Canis lupus familiaris: one gene and its partners. Each later gene encodes a partner of the first gene's protein in a complex. Links are inferred from orthologs where the notes say so. Each region holds a gene or a part of one and is shown in the gene's direction. Other genes may lie near its edges.

Region 1 (5,557 bases):
AGCCACCCCCATTTCCCCAGCTGGGCCTTTGTTTGCTGACGATGCTCCCTCCAGGCCCTGCCCTCTCTCCTCCATCTCCGCAGCCAGCACCTGGTCCAGGTCATATAGCTTCCCCTCGCCTCTTCAGGTTGTTCTCCCTCCTAGAAGCAGCCAAATTACATCTTACCTCCCCCTGCTGAAAACCCTCCCCATCTCATTTAGGACAAAAGCCAGGCTCCTTGATGCTCAAAAAGGCCCCACGAGGACCAGCCCCTCTTGCTCTGTTTGCCAAAACAGCGCCTCTTCAGCATTCCTTAGAAGGAGCCAGACTCCATCCTGCCTCAGGGCCTTTGCATTGGCTACTCCCTCTGCCCGAAATGCTCTTCCCAAATATAACCCAATGAGTTGCTCTCTCACTTCTCTGAAGTCAGCACAAAACTGACCTTCTCCAAGGAAAACCCCCTGGCCTCCTTTCCTAAAGTACCTCCTGGTCCCTCTCCCTCCTCTTGCCTCTAAAACTTCCACGCTCTCAGCACTTGCCATGATCTGAAATCATCCTGATGATCTGTTACATGCTCCCTGTCCCTCTCTCCTCTTAGAGCGTCAGCTCCACGAGGCAGGAAGGAAACGGAAACTTGCTTCTGCTTTGTTCGCTGTTGGGTCCTCAGTGGCCCCCAAACTGCCAGACATGGAGCAGATGCTCGACAGACACGAGACTGGCCCTGAGTGATGTGACGAACATTGGAAGTGACAGCTGGGGGGACCCGGAGAGATGACTCTGGAGACACCAGGAAGGAGCCTGTGTCGTCACGGTTAAGATGTGACTTGAGCTGTGGGAGTGGATTTACTTGTTCCGGGGAGAAGGTGAAAGAGAGAAACAGGCCAAGGACTTCACGATTCAGGGGGGCACGAATCTTCCCCCAAGGAAGGCACAGGCCCGTCACATCCTGGGGTTTCTGTTCTCTGAACGCAGTAGGGGTAGAACTGTAGAACTGAGAGATGGTGGGGCTGGGGTGCCCTCAGCTCTGAGATGTCTAGATCCTTCGACCTACTGCCAACTTCCAGCTGCCTCCCCCTGCCTCCCCCACCCTCCCACTCCCTCCTCCGCACCCTATGCTCTCCGGGCAGCCCAAGACATATTTACCCAAAGAAATGTGACTGCCCCTTGCTGCTGCAAACCCTCTCAGGGCTCGCCACTGCCCCTCGTGGAGACCGAGCTCCTCACCCCGGCCCACAATGCGCCGCGGGCCCGGCCCTGGCCCACCTGTCCCTTCTCATCTTGCCGGGTTCCTGTCTGTGACTCTTTCTCAGCTCTCCGAAGAGTGAAGTCCTCGCCCTTCCCCAGTCACGGCAGCCATCCCACCTCTCCCCGCTTTCCAGGGGACGCCCGTGAAGTCCCGCAACTTGACCCTCTTCCACCCTGACCACAGCAGCCACGCGGCGGGGGCGGGGGCGGGGGCGGGCGGCCGGCTGGCCGTCTGGGTGGATGGGTGGGTGGATGGATGGACGGAGCAGCCGGCCGGCGTCCCATGGGGACGGAATTGGGAGAACCAGACCCTCGCAGAACGCACTGGTCCCCTGACCTCACAGAGCCTCAGTTTCCCCTCTGGACAAAAAGGGCGTGCGACGTGCCGCGCGCTCCCAACCTCGTACTCACCCACTCGGGCCTCAGTTTCTCCCGCCGTCCAGCGGGGCTGGGGTCCGGGCCTGGGAGCCCGGCGCGCACCCCTCGGACTCGCACCTCCCTACGCTGCCGGCTCCGCCGGGCCCCCGACCGCGCCCCCTCCCGTAGGGTCCGGGTCACGTGACACCGAGCCCACCTCCGCAGGGGGCGGGGCCTGGCGGGGGAGCGCGGCGCCCGGGCGTTGCCCGGCAACGGCCTTCCGCCCGGCTCGCCCTCGCCCCGCCGTGGTCCTGGGCCCGCCCCCTGGACGAAAGCCCCGCCCCCGAGGCAGGCACGTGACCGAGGGCCCGCCTCCCACGCACAATTCCGACCTCGCGTTGCCGTGACAACCAACCATCTTATTGGCACACTCGCCCTGGGCCGGGGCCCTCGGTCCCCCGCGCGGGCGCGGGTGGATCTCCCGGACTCCGACGCCTTCTTGGGCCACTGTCGGGCCTCAGTCTAGACGCCCGACTCCTCTTTTCCTCGCACGCCGCCGGAGCCGCGCCAGACCGGACTACATCTCCCAGCAGTCTCGGCGGCTGGGCGAGCCGTCCGGCGCCTCACGGGGGTTGGTCCTGACTCCATTTCCCAGGCAGCCTTGCGGCGTCCGGGCTCTGAAGATTACACTTCTCAGAATCCTTTCGCTGGAGGGCTGCGGAGCCTCTCCGGCGTTTTGCGGCCGCCGCGCGACTTCGACTCTCACAGGCCTTTGCGGCTGAGTCGGGCGACTACGTTTCCCAGAGGCCTCTGCGGCGCAGTCACCGGAAGCGGCGGGCGAGTCGAGTGTCCTTGCGCGCGGAGCCGAGCGACCATGGTGCCCCGAGTGTGGTCGCTGATGAGGTGCGTGGGGCGGCGGGGCGGGCTCCGAGCCCCCGAGAAAGCCCCTCCCGTGGGCACCCCCCGCCGGGTTTGCTTCCGGCTGGGTCTTGGAGTTCCGTGGCGTCGGGTCCCGCCTCGGCCTGACCTGAGGGTCAGGAGGGGAGGGGCCTCCCGCGATCCGGGGCCGCAGGTGCCTCCCCTGGACGGCGGGAGTGCCGCCCGCGCTGCGCCAAGACCCCGGGTGCCCGGGGCGACGCGCGACGTCCAAGGAGCGCCCAGGGCCGCGCGGGACCCCGCGAGGCACAAGGCCGGGGGTCTAGGCCTTCCCTCGCCGCGCCGTGTGCGGATCACGAGTGGGCCTCAGTTTACCTGTTAAACGGGGCCGAGGGGCTGTGCTCTGTGCAGTGAGGGGAGCGTTGTGCCAGGCGGTGCCCGGCCGCCTCCTTGTTCTTCCGTGTCCGCTGCCCGGCCTCGCTGTGTCACTCCCCGGACCCAGGCGCCCCGCGTGGGCCAGGAGCCCGGGGCTGCCGGCAGTGCCGGGGAGCTGCTGAGCCGCCGCCCTGCCTCCCCCCCCCCCACCACCGCAGGTTCCTCATCAAGGGCAGCGTGGCCGGGGGTGCGGTCTACCTGGTGTACGACCAGGAGCTGCTGGGCCCAAGCGACAAGAGCCAGGCTGTGCTCCAGAGGGCCGAGGAGGTGGTGCCCCCAGCCATGTACCAGCTCAGCCAGTACGTGTGCGAGCAGACCGGCCTGAAGATGCCCCAGGTAGCCCCCGGCGGCGTGTCCGTGTCCGTGTCCGCGTCCTCCCACGGGCTCGGTCCTGCGAGGCTGGGGCCGCGGGGCCCTTCCCCTTCTCACCTGCCCCTTCTCCCCTCTCTTCCCAGCTCCCAGCCCCTCCAAAATTTAACTTTCACTTCCGTGACACCTGGAACTCAGGTAGGCCCTGGTCCCCGTGCTGGGGGGTGACCCCTGCCACCGCAGCCTCACAACCCTGCCACCGCTTGCTTCCTGGTCACTCCTTCCCGTGGCTCCCCGTGCTGCCCTGCACCCCTGCCACGGATCTAAAGGATCTAAAGAGGGTGGAGATTTCAGGGAGGGGTGAGCCAGAGGGAGCCTACTTTGAGGACAGGTGATCTCAGACAACATGAGGCCCTGCCCCCCCCCCCGCCTCAGTTTCCCCATGTGGGACCGATGGCGCTGGAACTGGTGCCTCTCAAAGCCTTGTGGAGCTCGGGTTTCCGGGGGGCTGGTGTGGGTGGGCGAGACGCGGTGGCTGAAGGCGCTGGGGCCTCCCTCTCCACAGGGATCCTCACGGTGATGTCAGCTCTGTCGGTGGCCCCCTCCAAGGCCCGCGAGTACTCCAGGGACGGCTGGGAATACCTGAAGGAGCGGATCAAGTAGCCTGCCAGAGGCCACCTGCCCCAGTCAGGAACGGGGGCAGGGGCACCAGCGACCTGGAGACTCCAGACTGGGACTGGGACCCCACTCGAGGGCAGCTCCCGGCCTTGCCGGCCCAATAAAGGACTTTGGAAATGCTCCCCGACCCGTGTGCTGGCCCTGGGGGCTGGGGGTGGCCCGGCTGGTGCCCAGAGCAAGGGGCCTGGGCTAGCAGCTCCTCAGGGCCTGACCTGGACCACAGGTGTTGGTTAACCCCTTTGCCGTCCGGACCCCACTGCTGAGTCTCCAACCTGGTGCGGGGCTGGGGGCAGACATTGACCCTGGAGCTCCACGGACAGTGCTCAGGGGCCCAGGAACGGGTTGAGAAAGTGCCGATGCCGGCCTTCCTGGAGGGCTGAGCCCAGGGTGGGGGCTTTGCGGGGCTGGGGGCCTGGGGAGGGGCATGTTCATCTCCCCGCTGTCTGCGTGGCCAGGAGTTCCCGGGGCCGCTCAGTGATCACCGTGTGTAGAGCTGCTCACGAGAGCGACTGCAGTCCCCGCAGGACGGGCCTGTGTCCCCGGGGAGGGGGTCATGACGTGGGGGCTGCAAAAAAGCAGAGATGGCCAGGTGTGGCCCAGGGGCGCCGGGCAGGCAGGCAGGCAGGGCTTCAGGAAGCACCTGGCCACCCCCAAGGCAGCCGCACAGCGAGGACGAGGGTGGGCCGTGTGGTTTCCAGGTGAGGAAAAGGGCGGAGATAGAGGCACCTGTCTGAGGGCACAGGGCAGGCAGGGCTGCGTCTCTTACAGACGGACACACGTACCCCGAGGGCTGCTGGGGCCTCAGGCTGCTCCAGGCCCTGCGGGTCCCTCAGCAGCTCTGAAGAGATGCCTTCCCCAAGCCCTAGGTCTGTTTGCACTGACGCCCCCCCCCCCCCGCCCCCGGCTCTCGGCCTTGTGCCCTTCCATCCACTTCCCAGGTCCAAGTCTGAACATGTCCCTGCCCTCCTCGGAAACCCTCTATGGCTCCCTGCTGCCTTCCCCTTGAGCCCGGACTCCTCCAAGGGGCCCCATTCCCAGAACGCAGTTGGTCTTCACCACTGGCCTTGGCACCCACTCAGCAGGCCATCCTCCCTCCTGACTCTGGCTCATCCTGCCTGCAGCTTAGCATTGGCCTCCTCTGGAAAGCCTCCCGACCCCTTCCTCCCAGCCTGAAGTCAGGCACTCGGCCCAGGCCCCCCGACTGCCCTGTGGGTGTCCTATCAGGGCCTTAGCACTGCGAGGCAAGGTCGCCCTACCTCAGCCTGGGCACAGTAGGTGTTGAACAGCATCCCTGCCTCCACCCCCGAAATGCCAGTGGCACTCTGTCCCCTGGTCCTGACGGCTGCAGACGTCTCCAGTTGCTGCCAGGTGTCTCCTGGGCAGTCATCCCAGCAGACGAGCACTGCCTTGGGAGTTTGCTAGTCTCCCGTGACAAATGACCAGATTCAGGGGCTTAAAAGCACACGTCGACCGGTTCACAGATCTGGAGGCTGGAAGCCCACCACGGGTCTCACGGAGCTAGGAGGACAGGGCTGGCTCTTTCTGGGGACAGTCCGTATCTGGCCTTTTCCAGCTTCTAGAGGCCACCACACTCAGCAGGAGTGCCCCCCCCCATCTTCAAAGCGAGCTGTGGAGCGTGTGGGTGTCCAGCCCCCCCCCCAGCTCTCCTGCCTCCCT
Region 2 (6,090 bases), about 54 Mb from region 1:
TGGGGCCATCCCCCAGCGTCTGGTTGTGGCTATTGACAACTCACAGATGCCCCCTTCACTGGGGAATTGTGCTGGGCTGCCAATAATTGACTGACATGGGGGACAGAAGGCCTGTCCCCTTGTTGTAGGATGAGGCTAATTCTGTATTTAATTTGTTCTCCAGAGCCTTGCCCCCACCCAGCCCTGCCTAGCATTAGGTGGAAGCCAGTCTCCAGCTTTGACCCCACTTCATCCTGTTCTCTTACTTTCTTTCTCCTGAGGCACCTTCCAATAAGCCACTTGAGCCAGAGTCACCTTCTCCCGCTCTGCTTATATGGAAGAAATGGAGGACAGAAAGGAAGGAGAGAGATTTACAAATCAAAGTATTTTGAATGGAAGTAGCAGATATCCTTGTTCATAAAAATCCTCTGGCCCTACCTCTGGAATGTTCATTGGCTTCCTAATTCTCATTGGTCTCTCTCATTCACTCTCTCCTCCTCACTCCTTCTTTTCCAGGTTCCCAAAAGCAGCTCCAAATGACTCTTGCTATTTCATGTAGCAATTTAGGGTTTCTCAGTTCAAGATTTCAAACTCAGCTCCAGGGGCAGCCCCGGTGGCGCAGCGGTTTAGCGCCGCCTGCAGCCCAGGGCTTGATCCTGGAGACCCTGGATCGAGTCCCACGTCAGGCTCTATGTATGGTGCCTGCTTCTCCCTCTGCCTGTGTCTCTGCCTCTCTGGCTCTATGAATAAATAAATAAAATAAAAATCTTAAAAAAATATTAAAAAAAAAAAAACTCAGCTCCAGGCCCACTTTGTAAATCAAAGCCATTTAGCAACTTGGTTGAACAAAACGAGGCTTCATTCAATGTCACTATGGCTATAATTCACAATCATTTGTGTTCCTCCACTACACATATGATCCTGTGTAAGCATAAACACAGTGCTTGATACACTGCCCTGAATGCATGACATGTATGCTCCCTGACCAATGTTTCCTCAATGCTTATGAGCATTCACCGTCTTAACAGGGTATTTAGAATAAATCTCTGGGGATCCCTGGGTGGCTCAGCGGTTTAGCGTCTGCCTTTGGCCCAGGGCGTGATCCTGGAGTCCCAGGATTGAGTCCTGCATCGGGCTCCCTGCATGGAGCCTGCTTCTGCCTCTGCCTGTGTCTCTGCCTCTGTGTGTGTGTCTTTCACGAATAAATAAATAAAATCTTAAAAAAAGTAGACTAAAACTCTGACCTGCCTATAAGGCCCTAGTGATGTGAGACGTTCCTGCTCCCTTCACCTTCTTGCCTCTGGCTCTCTTCTGCTCCCTTGCACTTCTCAGTCGTGTGGCTAAGCCCTGTATTTCTTAAATGCGGCAAGGTCTTCTTTGTCTCAGGGCCTTTGCACTGGTTGTTTCCCAGCCAAGTGCTTCCCTCATCTTCTCCTGGCTAACTCCTACTTATCCTTATGTCTCAATTCAAATCCTTCTTTCTCATAGAGGTTGCTCTGGTCTGTCACATTAGAGACCCCCTCCTACTAGTTTCTCACGGGGCATTGTGATAGTCTTTTCCATTTCTGGCACTTGTCACAGTGGTTAGTAAGCTTATTTATGTGCTTGCTTGTTTGTCTTTTCATTTGTTCCTTCCATTAGGTCTAAATCTCACGAAGGCAGGACGTCTTGTTCCCCACGGCTGGTTCAATGCTTGCTCCGTCTTGGTAAGCGCTGCTCAAAAGGGGTTTGCTGAATGAACCAAGGTCGCCCTCGCATGGCTGGCTCAACTCCTCGGGGGGCTCCCGGCCTTTCAACATCGCCCCCGGCTCTGCTTCAAGGGCGATCTTCCCCTCCCCTGCCTGCTGCACTCCAACACGCTTCCCGCCGCCCGGGCGCCACGCCTCCGACGGGCAGCCCCGGCGGTCCAGACTACAACCCCCACAATGCCCCTCAGGCACGCGCCGCAGGATTGGCTGAGCTGGCAGCGGCGGCCAATAGGACGGGGTCTTGTTGGCTTGTGCCGCACCCGAGTCCCGGGCAGCGCGGGGCGCGCAGGGAGCCGCAGCCCGGCGTCCGCCCGGTTGCTCTGGAGCCGGGTCGCGCGGCCGCCCGCCCGCTCTCCTCCTGCCATGGGGAGCACCGAGAGCTGCGAGGCCCGCAGGGTGTCCTTCGGGATGGACGAGGAGGAGCGGGTCCGGGTGCTGCAGGGCATCCGGGTGAGCGGGCCGCCGGCCGGCGCGACGAGCGAGCGCGGCCTGGGCCGGGTGGGCGTGGGGGGCGCGGGCCGGCCTGAGGGAGGGTCGGGCCGGGGGCGGGCGGGCGGGCGCGCCTCGCTCGGTGACCCTCCCGGCGCCGCGGCGGCGAGCGTCCGCCTGGGACGCGGGGCCCGAGGTCCGGGGGCTGCCCGGGGCCGCCGTCCGGGAGAGGCCGCCGTCGCAGCCCCGCTGGCCGAGGCCGAGGCCGAGAGCGGGGAGGGGAGGGGAGGGGAGGGGGCCCCCTGCACCTGTGCAGCTGCCGTTGCCGGGCGGACCCGGGCGGACCCGACTCTCCGCACTGCAGCTCTGGGCCCAGACGCCTGCAGGCGTGGACGCTCCCCGCTCACCGACGCCGCAGCCCAGGAGCAGTTAGACGTTGTGAATCAGATCACAAACCCCCCTGCTCCCCTCACCCCCGCCCCGCGGAGGCCTGGCGCTTTCCAGACCAAGAGGGGCCACCTCCCTGCCCGACCAGGCCGCCGCGTGTGGCCGCCCCTCACGCCCCGCGCCCCGCCCCGCCCCGCGCCCCGCCCCGCCCCGCGCCCCGCCCCGCGCCCCGCCCCGCGCCCCGCCCCGCGCCCCGCCCCGCGGCCTTCCGACTGCGCGGCGTTGGCCCGGGCGGCTCCAGGGGCGGCTCCAGGGGCGGCTCCAGGGGCGGCTCCAGGGGCGGCTCCAGGGGCGGCTCCTGGCGTTCACCGCTGCGTTGGCGGTTTCTACTCCCCCAGCTTTTCCTGGATCTGCCTCTTGTTGGCGGGGTGAGGATCATCCGAGCATTCTTCGGTGACCAGTCTTCTAAAGTAGCCCCCTCCCTCCGTCACACGTGGTTTTTCCTAGTAGGCGTGAGTCACCATTGGAAACTTGATTATTTATTGTGTTTCCCACCACGTGTAAGCTCCTTGAGGCTAAGCTTCATTTCTGAGTCACGACTCCATCCCCAGAACCTAGGAGAAGTCTAAAAGCAGCCCACATTTGAGTGCTTAGTGGGGACCATGGGTTCCACTGAGTCCTTTACAGGCAACCTCTCATTTACTTTTCAACAGCCCGGTGAGAGAGGTAGAACACTGTTTGCCCATTTTGCAGACTAAGGACAGATTAGACACTGAGAGATGACGTAACTCCGCCCAGGTCAACAAGAGGAAGAGCTGCGATTGAAGCAGGCCAACCCCAGGGCCTGTTGATTGAATGCTGCACTTCATGCACTTGTGCCTGGCACATTGTGGTTTGTAAATGATTGTTGGGTGGCTAAATGGATAAGCCCAGTGAAACAGCCACCAAATCCAAACAAAATGCAGAGCTGAGTATAGGCGAATTAGAGAGTAGCTCAGAAAAAGACATCAGGAGGTCTGACTCCCAGGCAGATGCTTATTAGCTATGTGGCCTTGGGTGAACAACTTCTCTTTTGAGTCTCAATGACCACATTCTTAAGAAAATTAGGGGAGGCTGTATAATCCCAGGTACTGCCTAGGATAAGATGAAGATGTATATGGAAGTGTTTAGAAGTGCTTGTGTTTTGTGATGGCCTCTGTTCTTAGTCTAGTCTAGTGCTTAGCACAGTGGGTGCTTGCTAGATGTTATCTAGTCTTGACCTGGCTCCAGAGAAGACAAAATAGGGAGCAGATGGCCCATGTTTGAAGGTTGAGAAGTAGGAGCCTGAACTGGAATTTAGAAGAACACCCTTGGCTCTGTTTGGGGGCTCTCACCTTTGTCACCTGGTATCCAGTGTTTGGGAAGTTTGGAAGGTTAGGTCAGTCAGGGTCTCCTGAGATTCAAGGGGGTCCTTTTGAAGGTGAGTTCCTCTGAGTTGACAGAAGATCATTTTGGGGGCCATCGTATCAGACTACTACATTTTGTTTCTAGTGCCCTTAACAATTCTGCAAAGTAGAAGTTCTTGTTAAAGATGGAAAGTCAGGCTTAGAGCTGTTAAAGAATTTGTTCAGAGCGTTACCTGATTGGCTGATGGGGCTTGAGTCCAGATCTTTTGAGTGCAAGAAACAGCCTTTTCTCACTACTCCAGGCTCCTTTCCTAAGTAATAGGCAAGGCAGCCTGAAAATTGTGTGTCACAGCCTCTGCCTGTTCTGACAGTACTGGTACCCCACTTGTTTTCTCCCAGAGACTGTTGAAGCTGAAGGGAGCTTTGGTGACTGAATGCTGGGCAGATTCATCAGAGAGAAGAATGACTTGCCCAGAGTATGGCCCCATACTATGAGAGCTCCTTCTTCTCCTTCTTCTCCTTCCTCTCCTTCCTCTCCTTCCTTCCTCTCCTTCCTCCCTTCCTTCCTTGCACTTTTGTGCCTGGTTTTGGGGAGGGAGATTTGAAAAAGGAAGTGATGGTAATGAAGTGTTTGGTGTAGGGGTTTTTTCTACTAGCAGAGTTACTTGAGGGTTGGAGAGTCCACCTTCTCCTTAAGCAGGCAAGTAAAAATCAGTAGAGATTGTTAGATGAGCCAAATGAGAAGTTACTTTAATAGAAGGTAGATGCCAGAGAAGAGTATCTGCCCCAGGTTCTTCAGAGAAAGTTAAATATTCTTAAAGACACTCATATTTAATCCCCAGGCCCTGATCTTGGAAAGTGCTCTAGTTTCCTTAAGATTCAGTTCTAGGGCCTTGCTACTTTGCAATTAATTTGCATAAATTTACATATTGAGTTCAAGCCCTAATTCCAAGGAAGGTAAAAGAAATTTAATTAATGCAAAATGCTGCAATTATATTCAACTGCAGTTTTCAGAGCAAGCATGTGTGAAATACATAAAGATTACTTTTTATCCAGTCTATTTAACCTCATCCTCCAATGAGAGAAGGTGCATGCATGGTCATAATGTCCTGTGTGTGCCCACTTTTCCTCTTTGCCCCATGTAAACAGCCAATATTTGGTAATGCAGATAAAGTTGGTTGCTTTTCAACATGTAGACTCACTGTTCTCCAGCCTTTTCCCCTTCCAACTGCTGCCATTCTTTCCAAGTCACTTGCTGGCCTGCTGCATGATCCTTATGTCCCCAGGCTCATTACGCTCTCAGGGCTACATCACATTTACCATTATCCATTGTTTTCCATGAGGCAAGTTTGGACCACTGCTTTAGGGGAGGACCAAGGAGGATGTAGAAAGATGCACAAGAAATAGTCCCCAAACATGCCATTGCCAGAGAAGCCCTATGCCTGAGCACTGCCCCACTAGCCCCCACTTAACCTGTCACCTCAATAAATACGAACACGTTACTTGTTAGGTACTGGGCCTGGCCTTGCAGAGACAGTAAGGGATGAACGAAGCACAAGATCCTCGCCCTCATGGAAACCTCAGCCCAGTAGCAGGAACAGACCAAAAGGAAGAAAAAGTCAAAAGAATAAAAAAGCACTGCAAGTGTGCTGAAGGAAACAAAAGTGTGCAAAGTAACGGGGACTCCCCATTGGAGGTGGGACGGCAGACACTGCCACCCTGAGGAGGGGACACTGAAGATGCACCAGAGCCAGCCGTGAGAAGTGTGGGCTGAGCTGTGTTTTCTGAGCACTAGCTCAGACCTTCCCCTCGCTGACCTTGTGAGCTGTTCTCCCCATCTCAGATAGGACACAGGTTCAAGGAGGTGAAGTAACCCAAGGTCACAGCTGGTTAGTGGTAGAGCTGGAGGCTAGACCTTCCAGCTCCACAGGCCATGTACTTGGCAGCCACACTGGGGTTGGGATGTGGAGGCTGAACAGGGGATGGACTCTGAGTGCCGGGGAAGGCTGTCTATATGTTTCCTTGGAGGCAACATTGCAAGTCTATAATTAGGAGTGGCGCTTTGGAAAGATTATTCAGTGATGGTGATTTTTCTTTTTATTTATTTATTTTTTTAAAAAAGATTTATTTATTCATGAGAGACAGAGACACAGGCAGTGGGA
Region 3 (5,770 bases), on another chromosome or scaffold:
CACCTAAGATGGCTAAATTGAGCCTTAAACATATTCTCATGTATTGAAAAAGTACTGAGACATTTCACAAATACTCTTTGAATTGATAATGGAAGTCCTTGCACATTTTTGAACAGAGGAATGATTTAAATTTGTATGTTACTTTGGGGGAGTCCACTTCAAAGCAAAAAAAAAAATCCATAAATTGCACGTGGAGGATGAAGATTAAGGATTTGGTTAAATGGGAGATGAGGAAACAACAAAAATTAATTTTGGAGCTTGAGATTTGGAAGCTGAAGTTGGTAACGATGTTCAGGCCCAGGATGTGGCTGGGCCACACACGGTTAGGGTAGATTTTTTTTTTTTTTTAATTTATGATAGTCACAGAGAGAGAGGCAGAGACACAGGCAGAGGGAGAAGCAGGCTCCATGCACCGGGAGCCCGACGTGGGATTCGATCCCGGGTCTCCAGGATCGCGCCCTGGGCCAAAGGCAGGCGCTAAACCGCTGCGCCACCCAGGGATCCCGGTTAGGGTAGATTTAAATTGCTTATTTGATATTGAGAGGTTTATGGCCAAGATATTAGAAAACTCATTACACTGGCATCACCCCGTATAACAGAACAGCAGTGGGCAGGGACGGGGGGTGGGTGGGAGGGGTTGGGGAGACTGCAATTTAATGCTAAAACTACTTTTAAAAACGGGAGACTGCTTTGGGGGCTGTTAGGTGATGGGGATATGAAATTAGAGAGCGTAACGTAATTTTTAAAGCACCCTGAAAAGCAATGAATATATACGGACATAAGTATTTGATTTTAGGTAATTTTCAAATTCCTTTCTCCATTTTACAAGTGGGATTAGTATCATACTGTGATACCACCATATTGTAAAACACCGTAACTCTAGGAACACCATGCTGTGATAAATAGCCTAGTTAAGACCTAAAAGCACTTAGCAAATGCAACGGATATACACGTTATTCAGTTTCTTTTGATATTGTGATGGTACGATCATTATTAGTAATAACAGTATTGAATACTGTGTTCAATATTTAACATACTAAATCTTGGTTACAGACTCCGTGGAATACTCTGAAGAGTTTTTCTACACTGATCTCCTTAACTTCCGACGCATTCCATCAAAATTATCTTTGTAAAAGGAAAACGTAGTGGGAAAATAAGTGTGGCTTAAATCTAGGAGTAGAAGCGGTGGAACCCGAAGGATGTGGGTTTCTATCCCTGCTCTGCCATTTATTAGATGCGCGAACAACGCGTTCCGCACAAAGGTCTCTCCAGTGTTCGTCCTCCCAATCTCCCATAATCAGGATGACTCCCTGAAGAAAGGCTGTCAAAGCAAACAAACACGCAAACCAAAACACCATTGTTTACGTAACTTTCGCCAAACCGTCTGCTTTCTACGAAATACCCAGCTGACAAATGCGGCCGGGATGTTTTTTTCCTTGAATTCTTCGACGAATAACATCTTCTATCCGCACTGATCAAAGCCCGAGTTTCGCGCTTCCTCTCACCCTCCGGGTTCACCTACTAACCCCTTCTGGCGGATACAGACCAGAACTCCGAAGGCGACCCGGAAGGAGAAATAGCCTTTTCCGCCCGGGGTCGGTGCGGGGGGGGGGCGCCTCTCCGGGCGGCCTGGGCGGGGTCGAGAAAGGGGGCTGCGCGTGCGCAGCGGCGTTTGTTGCCCTTCCGGTAGGACCGGCGCGGAGAGGCGGCACGGACGCAGGGACGTACGCACGCTCTCCCTTACTAACGCCTCCGCGGCAGCTCCCTCGTACGCCAGCCGTGCCCAAGCCCGGCCGAAATGCTGCGGGCCTGTCAGTTATCGGGTGTGACCGCCGCCGCCCAGGTGAGCGCGGGGGCGCTGGGAGAGCGCGTGGTGAGGCGGACTCCGGCCAACCAACGGAAAATGGGAGAGGCTTTCGCTCTGACTAGGCCCCGGGAGAGAGGCGTGTTTCGCGGCCGCCCTCATCGCGGGAGTCCTGGGCCGACCCGTGAAGCAGTTGATTAGGGGGTTCGCCCGACTGGGATGATTTGAGGGTTATTGCTGTAAGCGGGATGGGGTGTGGAGAGAAGGTGGTGGGGAGGCGGGCGCAGGACCGTCAGCGCGGCTTCGGGGACGCGTCGTCCAATCAGCGGCGCGCTGCCCCAGGCAGGGACCAATAGTGGCTCTGGCGCTCGGGTTGCCGGTTGGGCTCGTGATAGGTTTCGCGCAGCCAGTGGTTGAAGGTCGCGGGGAGAACTACAGTTCCCAGCAGGAAACGCCTATAGCCTTGGCTTGTTGCATCTTTAATAAGGAGGTGTTGGGACTGTTAGAGTCCACATTTTAGGGGTCAAGGTTGTAATTACTCGGGAAGGACCTTCTTTTTTGCAGCTTAGAGAGCCTCTGAGGTATTCTTACTCTAGACAAAAAATGAGAGATTGTAGTTTATGAAGTAAAAACTCTGGGTACTGAGGAAGAACAGGAGTCATGACCTTGTGCTCATTTCTGAGGTTAGCTTGGGGATGTATTTCTCCAGGTGCTGGGACAACTTTGGCAGACATCCAGGAAGCCTAGACACCCAGTGACTTACATCTGCACGCTTGTCAAAGTACTTTTCTAAAGTTGGAAATAAACTTCTATTTCTATTGTTCACAGTTTTCAGAATTATTGATATGTTGGAAGATGTATTGCACACCAAGCAGCAATTGAACAAAATCTCTAGTCAGAGTGAGTGAGAAATCATGTCAGGCTTTTTTTTTTTTTCCTTCAAGTTTGCTTGTCTCCCTACTTGTTGCCAGGATAGAAGCAGCTTTTGTAGGCAAGTAGGGTCTGTATTAGTTCTTTTTTGATGCATAACAGGTGTCACACACTTAGCAGCTTAAAACCGCACCCATTTATTCTTAGACTTTCTGGTTATGAATGGTCTGGATTCTTTGTTCGGTGCCGCACAAGGTTGCAGTTGAGGCATTGACTGCTGTGGTGCTCATCTGGACCTCAGAGTCCTCTTCCAAGTTCATTTTGGCAGAATTCAGTCCCTTGCACCTGAGGAACCGAAGTCCCTGTTTTCTTTCCTGCTGTCACCTAACTCTCTTAGAGTTTGCTCCAAGTGTGTTGCTCAGTGACATGGATGTTTGCTTTCTTGTAGGCTACCAGGAGCTTATCTCTTTGACTTCAGAAGTCTCTCTTAACTTTCCTGTTTTTGATCTCTAGATCAGCATGTAAAAGGCTTTAAGATTAGCCTGGCCCACCTGGAAAACCTCCCTTTTGATTAACTCAGAGTCACCTGATGAGTTACACACCTGCAAAATCCCTTTTGTCTTGCAACCCTAATCATGGGCTTAACAGGGTGGAAATTGTGTGGGCCATCTTAGAATCCCTCCTAATGTAGTACCCAAGTGGGACTAGAACTCTTTGAGTGCAGAACTCTTGGTTTGTCTTCAGAGCTCTCCTTTCATGGAACACTCTTGTTCTGCCCTCAGATTATGTCATGGCTGTCACCAATCTCCTTGTCTGCCATAAAATCTAAAATTTTTCTACTTTTTCCTTCCTTGTCTTGATGAAAACGCTTTCTACTTATTGGGATTCCAATTAGGAAGTTAGAAGAAAACATTAAAGCTTCACACTAAAATATGAACCCTTTTCTAGCTTGCATCCGCATTTTCTTAGGGTCTCGAAATTGCGATCTTGTAAAAATTCATTGGTTTCTTCTCATTTTGTAGCATTTGATATTGTTGCTTTGTGAAGCTGTTTTTGCTTTCTGGCTTTTCTTATGTAGTATCTAGGGGCTCTTTATCTTTCTCCTTTTTCCTTTATTGAATCTGCTACTTGTACCTCGAAATATATCCCCAAGGTCTGACCTCTCTTCCCATCTCTCTCTTTTTAATTAAGACTTTTTATTTTTTATATTTTGAAGATTTTATTTATTTATTCATGAGAGACAGAGAGAGAGAGAGGGGCAGAGACCTAGGCAGAGGGAGAAGCAGGCTCCATGCAGGGAGCCCAATGTGGGACTCGGTTCCGGGACTCCAGGATCAGGCCCTGGGCTGAGGGCAGGCGCTAAACCGCTGAGCCACCCAGGGATCCCCTAACTAAGACTTTTTAAAGAGCAGTTTTAGCTTTGCAGCAAAATTGAGGGGAAGGTAGAGATGTTCTGCCCCCACACATGCTTGCTTACCTTCCACCATTATCAACATCCCCCACCAGAGTGGTGCATTTATTACAGTTGATTAACTTACATGGGCATATCATAATCACCCAAAGCCCATAGTTTACATTGGGGCTCACTTTTGGTGTTGTACATTGTCTGGGTTTGGACAAATGTATGATGACATATGTCAGTCGTTACTGGTATCTTACAGAGTATTTTCACTGCCTTAAAAATCCTCTATTCTCCACTTACTCATCACTTTCTTTCCTCTCCTCGCAACCACTGATCTTTTTATTAACTCTTTAGTTTTGCCTTTCCAAAACGTCATATAGATGGAATCATACAGCGTGTAGCCTTCTCACATTGGCTTCAGTCGCTTCATAATGTGCATTTAACTTTCTTCCATGTCTCTTCATGGCTTGACAGCCTTCTTTTTTTTCTTTTCTTTAAGCATTGACTAATATTCCATTGTCTGGATGTACCACAATTTACCCATTCACCTACTGAAGGATGTCTTTGTTGCTTCCAAGTTTTAGCAGTTGTGAGTGAAGCTGGTCTAAATATTTCATGTGTAGGGTTTTGTGTGAACATGTTTTCAGCTCTTGGGTAAATACTGAGGTGCATGATTGCTGTATTATATGTTTAGTTTTTGTAAAAAAAAGTGTCAAACTGTCTTTCAGAGTGGCTGTACCTTTTGCATTGCTAGCAGTGATGAATGGGAGTTCTTGTTGTCCTACATCCTCATCAGCGTTTGGTGTTGTCAGTCTTAGGGACTTTGGCCATTCTGATGTATGTGATAATCTCATTGTTGCCCCATCTCTTTATATACTGTTACTTGGGATTATATCAATTCTCAGAACTTTCATCCCCAGCAGATGGTTCTTTAGATTCTTTTGAGCTTTCTAGTCAAATTTTCTTTTCCTTGTTTGATTTTGTCAACTTTATCCAGAATATTCTACTTGTCAAAATCTTTTCCATTCTGTCAAGCTTCATCTTCTTTGATGTTTTCCTGCTTTACTATTGCCCTTTTAGAGTCTTCTGGAATTTTTTTTTTCATTAGGATTGTAAAAACTGTTACTCATTACTCAGCAGTAATGTCTGCCAAGTATACATGGTAGAAAGTACTTTAATATATCATTGCTCTTTGCTTTTATTGGTGTTAGATCATTTTTTATTATTCCTTATTTTCATCTTTTTAGGCCAGTGGCTTTCAAGCCATTTTGGAATATTTACATCGTAACTTAAGACATGCAAGTGGGAATATATGAGTAATATATATTCATACATGTATGGAGGGAAAACTAAAGTATTAAGTTCCTTCTTTTGCCATATTTAATACTTGCCATTTGCTTGTTGTAACTGAAGGGTACGTTTTCTAAGATAGAGATCTGTGTCTTTCTTTCTTTTTTTTTTTTTTTTTTTTAAGATCTGTGTCTTTCTTGAGAGATAATACTGCTTCAATGCCAAACTTCCTGGATTTTTTTTTTTTTGTGTGTGTGTATATATAAACATATATATGTATATATATTCTTTTTTAAAGATTTATTTATTCATGAGAGACAGAGAGAGAGAGAGAGAGAGAGAGGCAGAGACACAGGCAGAGGGAGAAGCAGGCTCCATGCAGGGAGCCCGATGTGGGACTCGAT

Evidence for each region. Proteins that work in one complex are often made in the same cells at the same time.
Region 2: MICOS13 (region 1) and CHCHD6 share a complex: the UniProt entries of both Homo sapiens proteins name them as parts of the mitochondrial contact site and cristae organizing system (MICOS) complex. The link is inferred for Canis lupus familiaris from reciprocal best matches to the Homo sapiens genes MICOS13 and CHCHD6.
Region 3: MICOS13 (region 1) and IMMT share a complex: the UniProt entries of both Homo sapiens proteins name them as parts of the mitochondrial contact site and cristae organizing system (MICOS) complex. The link is inferred for Canis lupus familiaris from reciprocal best matches to the Homo sapiens genes MICOS13 and IMMT.

The regions. Positions count from the first base shown.
Region 1 is NC_049241.1:54,735,433-54,740,989, forward strand, and holds MICOS13 (MICOS complex subunit MIC13), read left to right. Parts: upstream 1-1,963; 5' UTR 1,964-2,456; coding exon 2,457-2,485; intron 2,486-3,051; coding exon 3,052-3,229; intron 3,230-3,348; coding exon 3,349-3,400; intron 3,401-3,767; coding exon 3,768-3,865; 3' UTR 3,866-4,002; downstream 4,003-5,557. UniProt on the Homo sapiens protein: Component of the MICOS complex, a large protein complex of the mitochondrial inner membrane that plays crucial roles in the maintenance of crista junctions, inner membrane architecture, and formation of contact sites to the outer membrane.
Region 2 is NC_049241.1:896,509-902,598, forward strand, and holds the start of CHCHD6 (MICOS complex subunit MIC25), read left to right. Parts: upstream 1-1,990; 5' UTR 1,991-2,090; coding exon 2,091-2,177; intron 2,178-6,090. UniProt on the Homo sapiens protein: Component of the MICOS complex, a large protein complex of the mitochondrial inner membrane that plays crucial roles in the maintenance of crista junctions, inner membrane architecture, and formation of contact sites to the outer membrane.
Region 3 is NC_049238.1:39,249,468-39,255,237, forward strand, and holds the start of IMMT (MICOS complex subunit MIC60), read left to right. Parts: upstream 1-1,670; 5' UTR 1,671-1,798; coding exon 1,799-1,843; intron 1,844-5,770. UniProt on the Homo sapiens protein: Component of the MICOS complex, a large protein complex of the mitochondrial inner membrane that plays crucial roles in the maintenance of crista junctions, inner membrane architecture, and formation of contact sites to the outer membrane.